3 linked regions of the Ovis aries genome follow. The protein of the gene in region 3 purifies or fractionates together with the protein of the main gene of each other region. This does not show direct contact. Links are inferred from orthologs where the notes say so. Each region holds a gene or a part of one and is shown on either strand. Other genes may lie near its edges. The genes, in order: NFKB1, UBAC1 and RNF123.

What was found.
Region 1: the proteins of RNF123 (region 3) and NFKB1 purify together in Homo sapiens (affinity purification with western blotting; 4 studies listed by BioGRID). This does not show direct contact. The link is inferred for Ovis aries from reciprocal best matches to the Homo sapiens genes RNF123 and NFKB1.
Region 2: the proteins of RNF123 (region 3) and UBAC1 purify together in Homo sapiens (affinity purification with mass spectrometry; 7 studies listed by BioGRID and IntAct, counting the BioPlex papers as one, with this or other methods). This does not show direct contact. The link is inferred for Ovis aries from reciprocal best matches to the Homo sapiens genes RNF123 and UBAC1.

Annotation. Positions count from the first base shown.
Region 1 is NC_056059.1:22,544,735-22,548,378, reverse strand, and holds part of NFKB1 (nuclear factor NF-kappa-B p105 subunit), read left to right. Parts: exon of another isoform or gene 1-25; coding exon 26-227; exon of another isoform or gene 228-834; coding exon 835-1,004; exon of another isoform or gene 1,005-1,324; coding exon 1,325-1,427; exon of another isoform or gene 1,428-2,160; intron 2,161-3,212; exon of another isoform or gene 3,213-3,239; coding exon 3,240-3,364; exon of another isoform or gene 3,365-3,446; intron 3,447-3,644.
Region 2 is NC_056056.1:3,450,704-3,455,130, reverse strand, and holds the start of UBAC1 (ubiquitin-associated domain-containing protein 1), read right to left. Parts: upstream 2,945-4,427; 5' UTR 2,890-2,944; coding exon 2,752-2,889; intron 1-2,751.
Region 3 is NC_056072.1:50,536,587-50,540,230, forward strand, and holds part of RNF123 (E3 ubiquitin-protein ligase RNF123), read right to left. Parts: intron 2,764-3,644; coding exon 2,586-2,763; intron 1,844-2,585; coding exon 1,769-1,843; intron 1,619-1,768; coding exon 1,531-1,618; intron 1,444-1,530; coding exon 1,356-1,443; intron 1,276-1,355; coding exon 1,191-1,275; intron 1-1,190. UniProt on the Homo sapiens protein: Catalytic subunit of the KPC complex that acts as E3 ubiquitin-protein ligase. Promotes the ubiquitination and proteasome-mediated degradation of CDKN1B which is the cyclin-dependent kinase inhibitor at the G0-G1 transition of the cell cycle.

The sequences.
Region 1 (3,644 bases), on a different chromosome or scaffold from region 3:
CTCCTGCCTCTCCTCCACTCCCTAGACACCCCTGCACTTGGCAGTGATCACCAGACAGGAAGCTGTGGTGGAGGACTTGCTGAGGGCGGGCGCTGACCTGAGCCTCCTGGACCGCTTGGGTAACTCTGTTTTGCACCTCGCTGCCAAAGAAGGACATGATAAAATTCTCGGTATTTTACTCAAGCACAAGAAGGCAGCACAACTTATTGACCACCCCAACGGGGAAGGTAAGAGACAATCACACATCGTGGTGTAACCTCTGTCTGCTTTCCAAACAATAAGTAGCTACCAGATAAATGTGCCTATTTGATCTGCACCCCAAAGTGCTTTCCTTAACCACTGGGAATTCATCGTCTCTCATGGAAATTTCCATTGCTGGCTGCAGCTAATTCCTTTAAAGATGATCTGGAATAGTTAGTAGGAGGGAAAAGCAAGACCTGAGCAAACACCATTCTGGATATGTATAAAAAGTATTAGCTGCTCAGTCATGTCTGACTATCTGCGATCCCATGGACTGTAGCCCGCCAGGCTACACATTCTCTAGGCAAGATACTGGAGTGGGTTATCATTCCTTTCTCCTGACCCAGGGATCAAACCTGGGTCTCCTGCATTGCAGGCAGATTCTTTACCACCAGGGAAGCCCCCTCAATATGTAGAAAGCATCCTTTATTCAGAGAATGTTTATGTGCTCTCATTGTCTCTAGAACACAAAAGGAGTCTGGGGTTTACATGCAGGACAGCTGACTTACAGCACCTATAAAGACTGGAGTAGAGACCCATGCTGACCCCCAACAGCCTTGCCTCCCCGTGACCATCCCTATGCTTGGGCCGTAGGTCTGAATGCCATACATGTAGCCATGATGAGCAACAGCTTGCCGTGTCTGCTGCTGCTGATGGCTGCGGGGGCCGACGTCAACGCCCAGGAGCGGAAGTCGGGGCGCACGGCCCTACACCTGGCTGTGGAGCATGACAACATCTCCTTGGCTGGCTGCCTGCTCCTGGAGGTGAGGGATGCACTTACCTGCCTTCTCATTCAATTCCCAAGGGTATCTGGGAAAATCTTTTCAAAGAACAACTTGGCTAACAGCTCATCTCCCTACCGTCGGCTCTACCTGTGTAGTATCTACTGGAGGCTTCAGAATAGCCGCTCAGGCCCTCCAGTATTCCCCTGCCCGGCATCTCTGAGGATCTCTGCACTGGCAGAGCCTGCCTAGAATACAGCTGGGCCTGTAGCATGACCTGGAGAGCCACGCATGCAGGGGAGGTGGGGACAGAAGGGCGAGAGGACCTTGAGCTAACCGTTTTCTGTGTGGGCGGATTTTAGGGTGATGCCCACGTGGACAGCACCACTTATGACGGAACTACACCCCTGCACATAGCAGCCGGGAGAGGGTCCACCAGGCTGGCGGCTCTTCTCAAAGCAGCAGGTAAGGCAGCCTGGTAGTCAGCCCTAGAGAATGTCATCAGGAAGGCAAACCCAGACTGCTAGAGCAGCCAGGCCGCCTCCTTAACCTACGGACGTGCTGCAGAAAGGCACAAATAAATAAAAGTGGCTGCAAATCCCACTTAGCAGCCATGAAGGCTCTGTTTGTATTAGTAACCCTGGGTGCCATGCTGATGGTCATGTTAGTTTTTACTCACCTGTTTTGGATTTGGATTAAGTTGAGTCCCATGACAGGAGATCCTAAGGTTGAACTGAATTCCTTGTAGAATTTGGAGCAGTATCAACCTTAAGGTCCCATCACAGGTCCTCAGAAGGAAGCGTTTATTGGTATAATAAAGCACTTGAAGACTTCCATTTGTAAGAAAGGTCTCTGAGAAGCCAAAATGATAGGGACAAACACATGGGCCGTGTGTCAAGTGCTGTCATGTACCAAACCCTAAAAACTGCTAGCTTCTGTTGGGCTAGGTATTTCACACTGTCTCATTTAATCTTACTTAATCTGCAGTGACCCTTTGAGACACATCCCATTACTATTCCCATTTTATAGCCAAGGAAACAGACTGGTGAGACTTTTGCATCCCAGTTCCTGGACCCCAGTAAGGGGCAGAGCTTGAGTCACATCTTGTCACCTTGAACTTCCAGACTCTTCTCTCTCTGTTTCTCTCCCCTGCTTGGCTCAAGGATGTAGAGTGTTATTCCAATTCAACCCTTTCATCCTGTGAGATAAAGGAAAATTATTCCTGCTCATCTTTGAATCTCCACTGCCTTCTACATTTAGAACCTCAAAAATGTTTAATTGTAATTGGTATCTCAAGCCTGTCCTGGCATATTTGATTTACTTACAAGGTTATTGTTTTTAGAAAATAAATGCCTCACCAATTCAAGAAAATAGCAGATTAAATACCTTCTTTAAAAAAAACACAACTGAGACTAGGAAAAATATAAGAACCTTTTCTTTGGCACCGTATTTTTCTGACATCATATCCCAAATAAGCAGCCTTCTCTTTTCTCCTTCATCAAGCTGAACATTCCCATGAACAAGAGACGGTGATTGTAGTGTTTATGGTTAGTTTGGGGAGTCACTGGTTATGATAATAAAATGCCTTCAGACTAGAAGCTATGACCTTTCAATAACTACACATCCTACCAGAAGGTCTTCTTGGTGCTTTGCATTTAAGGATCAGTGCCATAACCCAGGAATAAAACACAACAGGTTGGCACTAGACAGAAAGCAGCTTTGCTCTTTTGAGCAAACAGGTGAAGACACAGAAACACGAGGTGCCAGGCATCAAGTTGAACACATGGGGCCTTAAGCCTAAGGGTGTGCCCTTGTTGTTTAGTCGCTAAGTCATGTCCAACTCTTTGTGACCTCACGGACTGTAACCCACCAGGCTCCTCTGTCCGTGGGATTTCCCAGGCAAGAACACTGGAGTTGGCTGCCATTTCTTCTCCAGGGGGTCTTCCCGACCCAGGGTTGGAACCTTGTCTCCTGAGCCACCAGGTAGCCCCTATAAACCACCGTCCTCAGTCCTCAGGTTAAAGGTGCATCGCTCACAACTATCCTATGGGGTCAAATGTGAGCGTCAGTCCAAGTCTGTGTTTTTGACAGTATCCGTGGCTATACAGAGCTATCATTGGTCACCTTTACAGTCAAGATATATTAGAATTTAAAGGCAGGTTTCTGGATATTTTAGTGGAAATGTATTTTATATATTCATAGAATCTGACCCCTGTGGGAAGTGAGGAGCCGAGAAGATGTGGGTTTTACCTAATGCTGTGTGACTTGGCTCCACAGGAGCAGATCCCCTGGTGGAGAACTTCGAGCCTCTGTACGACCTGGATGACTCCTGGGATGAGGATGGAGAGGATGAAGGGGTCGTACCAGGAACCACTCCTCTGGACATGGCCTCCAGCTGGCAGGTGAGCCCCGCTCCACCAGCGTGTTGGCTGCCTCGGAGGCGGCAAGTGGTCTTCCTCAGTCTTTATTCCCCAAAGCCCGCACCTGGTATTTTTAAAAGACAGGCTGCTTGTCACGAGCTGTATTTATCTTGAAAAGCCTATCCGCTAAAGATCTAGGTCAGCAGAGTTCTGAACATAAAAGCGTATGCCTAATCAGATCAGAGTTAGATGAGAGAAACTCAGAATTCACAAAGCGTGTTGCCCATTCTGAACTCAGACCAGAATCCTTCCCATCTGAGTT
Region 2 (4,427 bases), on a different chromosome or scaffold from region 3:
TAATTCTAAAATCTGCAGGCTAGCTGGTGTGCCAAGTTCAGGATGCAGTCTATGAAACACAATTTTCCAAAACAATCCGCACACTGGCTCCTGAAAAAAAAACTGTCCTCTGCAGCCTGTCAACAGGCGCCGGGAGCAGAACTCAAGCGTGAGTCACCCACACTGCGCCTGCTTATTCACGCTTTCCTTTGTTCCCAGCAGCGGTGCTGGAGTGAGCTGGGCCCTAGCAGTGGGAAAGCCAGCCCGAGCCCATGGCTGGGGCAGGACCCCAGCGAGCCCGCTTCTTCCCAGAGGACTGGAGACGGCCTTTCTTCCCCTTGACATCAGTGTCATGTGAAGACACGCCTTGGTGTGGTGCCCTGCTAGCAGGCTGCGAGCTGGTGAGCTTATCACACAGAAAACACCCAGCACGCCACAGGGGGCCACTGTCTTAAGATCGTGACCCTCCGGTTACACAAGATGACTTACTCTGCCCCGTGATATAACCACGGTGGTCCCAATCGATACAAAACCAAGAAGGGAAAGGCCACAGTGGCAATCCATTTCTACAAAAGTCACGATAATAAACCTTCACTAACAAAGCTGCTTTATTCATTTAAAAACGTATATGCATAACAGAAAGTGTAAAAAAACCCAGTAAGTTCCCAGAGGTCCTGTGATGGGAGGAAACCCAGTGTCCCCTCCGGGTAGAGGGGCAGGAGGGAGGCACAGAGAACCCCAGCTTGGGCACGCAGGACGGGGAGCCAGGCAGGAGGAGCCCTAGCTGAGCAGTGGCACCACGATCTAAGCTCAGTGCATAGGTTTCCGGGGTGATGGTCAAGCACATAACTCGAGAACCCCGTTTCCTAACTGGAAATGCCTCCTGAGGGCTCACAAGGCCGCGAACTCTGCCCCCAGGAAGGCACAGGCACAGAGGTGTGAGGACCTCCTAACAGCTCAGCTCTGAGTCCCAAAATGTATGCCAGTAGTTTTTGGTTGTGGAAGACCCCTGCTGCTCGCCCGCCACTCACCTCGGCCTGGAATAAAATCTACAGGGTGGAATAAGATCTCTGTTCAAAGCAGGATAACGCCAGAAAACATCCCAAATGATACGCCTCAGTACCGACTGGAATAAAAATATCGGCAGCATAATGTGAATAGTTAGCGTAATGAAACTGGCTCCCTCATTAACCCCAGGTGCTCCTGAAATCCTTAGCAAGCCTCCATGAATCTAAGAGTTCTTGCTTCGTTTTCCCTCCAGAACATAGCATTTTGATGGTTATGCCAATCCTTCCCATTGGTGAGTTAGACTAAGTGCCACACCAACGTACCCGCTGACCCCCCAGCCTGACTCAGCAGGTGACAGGCCACCACCGCCACGCAGCTCTCTCAACTGACAGTCTGGTTCCGTTCACAGGCATGCCCTGTCTGGTTGCGTCCTGGCTTTATTTTGCTTCCCGGATACTGGGCTTTTCACAAACTGAAGGTCTGTGGCAACCGTGTGTCCAACAAGTCCACTGGTACCATTTTTCCAGTGGCATTATTTTTTAATTAAGGTATTCCAGCCCTCAAGGGGCTCCTGTGCTGACCGGGTAGACACAGCATCTCAGAGAGGTTTGCACTGGGCAAGCAGTGAGCCTCGCGCTAATAGCCTGGACGCTCAGGGGGCTCCCAGCCTTCCCGCTGAGCGCTGTCGTGGCGGTTTTTAGTGAAATCACCCATCACTGCATCAGAAACAGAAACGGCCAAAACATCGCTGCCCAAGTGTGCGAGCCCACATCCCCCTCCTCCCTGACGTGAGACCAAGACGCTATTCACATCCAGGGTTTTCCGGAAGGGGACTCTGGCAACCAGAATGCTCTCCGGCCTGCTTGCAACAATTACACAACTCCACAGAACCAGACTCCCAAAAGGACCCGACAGCATTTTGCGGGAGTCACTAAACAATAGCTGCAAGTCTGTCCTTGGAGACCACACTAAAAGAAAGAGCCAGGGCTAGACTCTTGGTGGGCCCAGAACAAACGTGCGAGTCACTGGCATACAGGCACACTTTTTTTGTGAAATGAGCAGTAAGAGGCTGTGGCCTCCTTTGTCCTAAATTCTGACATGGAGATACTAGATCGTGCAAAGGATAGAGTTTCCTGAGGCAGCCTGAGTCACACGGACAGATGTCTTGGCCTGCCTTACAGAGTCGAGCAGCTTAAAGAGACAGACAAAGACTAGAACTCTGAGGAACCTACAAGGGGTGCTTCACGTGAACAAACTTTAGAAAACGGCCCTCTCCCCGACCTGCCCGTGTAATCCACGTAAAGGCCGAGGACAGCAAGGGGTGCATGGACCAGTTCGGCCAAGCCACACTATTTTAAGTGATTCCAGCCACGGTGAGGGGGTGCGGGGGCGCACCAGTGGCCAGAGCCAGGCGCCGGCCCCCATGCCAGCCCCAGGAAACGGCTCCAAGCAGCCGGCTCTGCAAGGTCAGGGGAAGGCGCTTCTCCCAGCGGGTCTCTCTCTACCTTCGTGGGCACTAACTCCCAGCTCCGGGAACCTCGCCGCGACAGCAAGCGCGGATGGATGGATTCTGGAACCGCAGGAGGCCCCGTTCCGGCGGCGACTTGGCCTCTCCCAGCCCGCGTCCCCGATGCGCCCCGGCCCCCCAGGCTGTCTTGAGGGAAGCTGGACCAGAAGGTAGAGGATAAAGCGCCCGGTCCGGAGCCCCACGGTCCAGTGGGCGGCGGGAGAAAGAGGGAAGCCTGGAGCCGCGGCCGGCCTTACGTGCTTGAGGCAGCGCTCCTTGAGCTTCTCCACCGAGGTGTCCTCGGTCGCCTCCTCCAGCCACTCGGCGCCGTCGAACGCGCAGACGTGCAGCCGCAGCACCTTGCCCGCAAAGATCTTCTCCTCCTGCACGAACATCTCGCCGCCGCCGCCTTCGCCCGGGCCTGGGGCCTGCGCCCGCCGCCCGGTCCCTGAAGGTCACCGGGGCGGGCGGGCCGGGGGCGGGGCCAGGCCGCCCGCGCGCTCCCTCGCTGGCCGCCGCCGCCCCGCCCCCGGCTCTCCCGTCGGCAGGCCGCCCGCCACTCGCCCCACTGCCCGCCCGCCCGAGCAGTCGCCCTCGCCCCGCCGCTGAGCCACCGGGGGCGCGCTGTCGCCGCCGCGCCGGAAGTGCGTCACAGGGCATGACCCGGAGCACGCCGGGAGATGTAGTTTTCCTGCGGCTGCCTCGCCGTCCCCGTCGCCGCCGCGCCAGAAGTGCGTCACTGGTCGCTCCCCGAGCACGCCGGGAGTTGTAGTTCTCGGGGCCGCTTCCTTCGTCCAGCACCTGCCCGCGCTGTGCTAGCCGGGGCCGCCGGCCACGCGGGAGCCGTGCATTTGCGAGTCTGTTTTGCGATGGGTCTCAGTGTAAAATGCACACTGAATCTTAAACAGCTGGCAGGAAAAGAGCACGAAAAATACCTCAACAATGTTTATATATTGACAGTGAGTTGGTGAAAGTCGCTCAGTCGTGTCCAACTCCTTGCGACCCCATGGACTATAGGGTCCATGGAATTCTCCAGGCCAGAATACTGGAGTGGGCAGCCTTTCCCTTCTCCAGGGGATCTTCCCAGCCCAGGGATGGAACTCAGGTCTCCCGCATCGCAGGAGGATTCTTTACCAGCTGAGCCACCGGGGAAGCGCTGTGTGCTGACTGCGTGTTGGAATAGAATGGGCTATATAAAATATGTTGGCACTGCTTATTTTTACTTTTTAAAGCTGTGGCTGCTAGATTTTAGGTTGTCTATGTGGCTGCTGTTGTGTTCTTTGGACTGCATTGCACTAAAGCAGAGTCTCTCTGCGTGTGGTTCCCAGACCAGCAGCACCTGGGAGCTTGTTAGAAGTGCACTTTCTCCTGCCCTGCCCCTATGCCCCCGTCAGGGACTCTGGGGTGGGGCCCAGCACTCAGGCTGCGCAGCCATAGAGGTGCCTTCAGACGGTGCGTGAGCACCGCAGGGAAGAAACATGACCCGCAGACTCAGCACACTCATTTCTGTGGGGGTAACGGATATCAGTATCCACTCTGCAGTTCAGGCTAGACCTGGAGCAAGTGACTGACCTGCACTCTCGCATCTCATCCATTCAAGGACCTTTGCTGAGCAGAGATGAATCCAACACCGTCCCTTTTCTCGGAGGCTGGTGATCTAAATGGGGAGGTGGTCCCGGCATGTCTCCCGTTTAATACACAGGTTCTGTTCCCCTGTGATCATTCTGCTCGTGTGTGAATTCCTTTTATTCAGTTTAGCATTTACCGATAGCCTCCATGAGCCAGACCCTTCTCTGGGGTCTGGTCAGGACTAGGGCTTGAGACCAAACTATCGCCCTGGGAACGGGCTTTCTCACGCAGGAACTGCCAGTGTCATCTATTGTGCAAACATGGCCTCACGAGACAGGAGACAGCGGGGGGCGGGGGGGGCAGC
Region 3 (3,644 bases):
GGCATCATCACACCCTGGTCAGTGGCCCCGCCTGCCCGCCTCTGTCCTCCCTTACGGGGCTGCTGGTTAAGCGCAGAGAGACGGCTCTCTGGGAACCTCTGGGCACAGCGTGCAGGGCTAGCAGGGGTTAGGGCTAAACCTGTCCCCTCCCTCTGCTGGGCCAACCACAGGCTGCCATTGTTCCCAACCCCCAACCCACCCCGAGTTCTGGAATGGCCCCCAAGCACCAGCAAGTCCACAGTCACCTGCCCTTCAGGGTGTGCTAGACAGACAGGGCGGCCCAGAGCCATCTCCACTCATGTCAAGGCCATCCTCCCCAAGAGCCTACTTCGAGCCTTGCCATTCTCCCATCCTCTGCTGCCCTTGGCGTGGCCTTGGCAGATGGCTGAGGTGGTGGGCGCCAAGTCTGGGCTGACACGCAGCAGTAACCAGAGCCCTCAGCCGCACCCGGGCTGGCCAGCCCTCCCCCAAGCAAATCAATAGTTCCGTCAGCAGCAGGACACGGATCTGCCCCCCTGCTCTCCACGGGCAGCTCAGGTCCACCCTAGAGCCAGGACCAAGGCAACTGGCAAGGACTTGCCACAAGGCCCTTGGTCTCTGGGGACCCCATTAGGCCCAAACACTGCCCACAAGGGCAGAAACACCCCGTGGGCTAAAGCGAGCCACTGTGGGGCAGGTACAGCGTGGGGGAGGTAGGCTCTGCAAGCTAGACCACCCAAGACTCTGGGCTGGGCCCAATGAAGGTCCTCGGGCTCACAGGACAGTGAATACTTTGCTCCCAATAAATGGCCCCTTCCTCCAGGCAACACCATGGACACCCTCTGGGGCCCTGGCCAGCCCCTAGTCTATGCCCCTGCCTTGACTCAGGCATCCAAGATCCAGGACCACCAGGTGGAAGTAAAGGGGCAGAGGAGATGGGAGTTGGGACACGGCTGGAGGTCAGGGAGCTGGGTCAGAGGACAACGGACAGGGTGCACTCGGTGTGTGAGCTGCCAGCACCCATGGGGCTGCAGAGATAGTCCCAGAGTGTCCTCGGATTGGAGGAAGGAGAGAATGGAAACCCTGGGGGATGGACAGGAAGTTTGGGGCCCACCACGAGCCCAGGACTGGGGCTGGAAGAAGCAGGGAAGTCTGTGAGAACCTCAGAGCAGCGGGTGAGGGCCCCCTGCCTGCCAGACCTGGGTACTCACTCTGGAGGCTGGGCAGATTGGCATCCTCAGGTTTGGTTTTTAGCAGGTGTGGCAGCCGCGTATAGCGGTACCCGAACCCACAGCCCTGGGGGTAGAGACGGCAGGAGGTCAGTGGGGCAGGGAAACCCCTCCAGCCATAGCCACTTCCCCTCCAGCCAGCCTTACCCGCCAGAGCCGAACCAGGATCCAGTTGGTCTGGGCCCAGGGCCGTTGCTCATAGGGAGCCAGGAGGTTCCTCACCATGGCGATGCGCCTGCGAGAGCAATGGGTGGTGGGCCCGGGGTGAGGCTCGTGCTGTGCAGGGCAGCATGCCTGCCCCTGCCCCCGGACCCCCACTCACTGCTCCTCAGGGATCCGCTCCACGGCCCGCAGGGAGTTGGGATAGCACACGTAGCTGGCCAGGGCCTGCATCAGTGAGTCCCGGATGTCTGCCAGGACAGGCCACACCTCACCAAGTGCCTGGCATGATCCTGGTGCCCATGTCTTACCCCCACCTGGGCGGCAATCTGTGCAGAAAATGGCCAGCCCGGGGTGCCACCCCGTGCCCATCCCCTCGAGCCGTCTGTCCAGTGCCTCACCAGTGCCCACGATGCGTGTGTCTGCGAAGTGTTTGGCAAGGATGGCGGCCAGACGGGTCAGGGTCTCCTCGTAGCCTACACGTTGGGGTGACAGGATGAGCTGGTGGGGAGTGCGGACACCAGCGGCAGGCACATCTCTTGGTGGGTGGGCTTGGGGAGCAGGCTCCAGAGCCAGCTACAAGGGCCAGTCTGGGCCCAAGCTGCCATCTGGGGACTTTTGGCAGTACGTTCATTAATGGTTGGGCAGAGACTAAGGCACAGACTCAGGAAGGGGGCTGGGCAGGCCCTGAGGCCGAGGGCAGGGCAGGGGACAGGCCAGGAGCCTAAAAGCCCACAGCCTAATCCACCCAAGCCCATCCTGGAATCCAGGGTCTGCGAGAAGCCCCTGCTCCTTGTGGCCACCAGCAGGGGCCCCGCTCCTTGCTGTGATCTGCAAGCCCACCTGCCCCTGCGTGGGATGCCACACCCCATGGTCAGTGCCAGGGCGGAGGGTGAGAGGCCGGCTGGCTCCTGGGCCACAGCAGCACCAAGAAGGAAGTGACAGTCCTGGCGGGGTGGGGCGGGGCGGGGCCCTCACGCCCTCTACTCCATCTGTCTGCTCTCCTCCTCACGCAGGGGGCAGCTGTTAGGTCTGTGGCTGCTGGTCCTAGGACAGGGCTCTCCGCCAAGTGGGACTTGTGCAGACGCTTGTGTGATGCTGTCTGAGCCCGTGTGGGATGTATGCTTCTGGGTCGTGGGGGCTCAGAACAGGGCTCCTGGGGCTCGCTTTGTGAAGGCCCGCTTTTCTGCCCCCTCCCAGCCTGAATGGCCCCATCACCTGGGAGCTCCTCCATGCTATGCACGGGGCCGAAGTAATTCTTGAGGGCGCTGTAGCTGTTGATGGCCACGCTCAGGTAGAACTCGGGCATGAAGGCAAAGAGAGAACCCGTGCGGTCGCCGTGCTCGATGGTCCGCAGGCAGACTCGAAGCAGCCAGTAAATGTCCTGCATCTTCTCCTGCGGGGGGAGGTGGGGCGGACAGGTACTGCCAGGCTGCTGTAGAGCAGGAGGCGAGGGAGTGACATGGGGTGCAGCCCAGTTGGGGGATGAGGAAAACTCTCCCAGGAGCACGACGTAAGGGCTAGACTCCAGGAAGCGGGAGAGGAGCTCAGGTAGGTGTGATCAAGCACTGCTGGGCAGGCAGGACAGGCCACCAGCCTGGCAAGGCAGCGCTACAGCCCCGGCCAGAAGCCTGTCTGCACTGTTTTAAGGTACGCAAGGCCTTAAGTGACAGGGTGCCTTGTGATCAGAAGCTGCCCAGAGCAGAAGTGGCTGCAGGGGCAAGTGGGGATGAGGCTGCGAGGAAGCTATGGCCATGGCCAAGTCCAGGACAGCAAAGGGCTGGACTGCTGGGAGTGTGGAGGCACAGAGGGGCCATGGGGGCGAGGGACTTCCCTGGTGGTCCAGTGGCTAAGACTCTGTGCTCCCAACTAAAGAGTCCACGTGCCTCAACTAAGACCCAGTGCAGCCAAACAAATTAATATTTTTAAAACTTTTAAATGTGCATCAAAGAACACAATCAACAGAGCAGTAAGACAACCCACAGAATGGGAGAAAATATTTGTCAACTGTAATGTGCTAAGGGGTTAATGGGAAATAGATGGAGAAACAGTGGAAACAGTGTCAGACTTTATTTTTTTGGGCTCCAAAATCACTGCAGATGGTGACTGCAGCCATGAAATTAAAAGACGCTTACTCCTTGGAAGAAAAGCTATGATCAACCTAGACAGCATATTCAAAAGCAGAGACATTACTTTGCCGATTAAGGTCCGTCTAGTCAAGGCTATGGTTTTTCCTGTGGTCATGTATGGATGTGAGAGTTGGATTGTGAAGAAGGC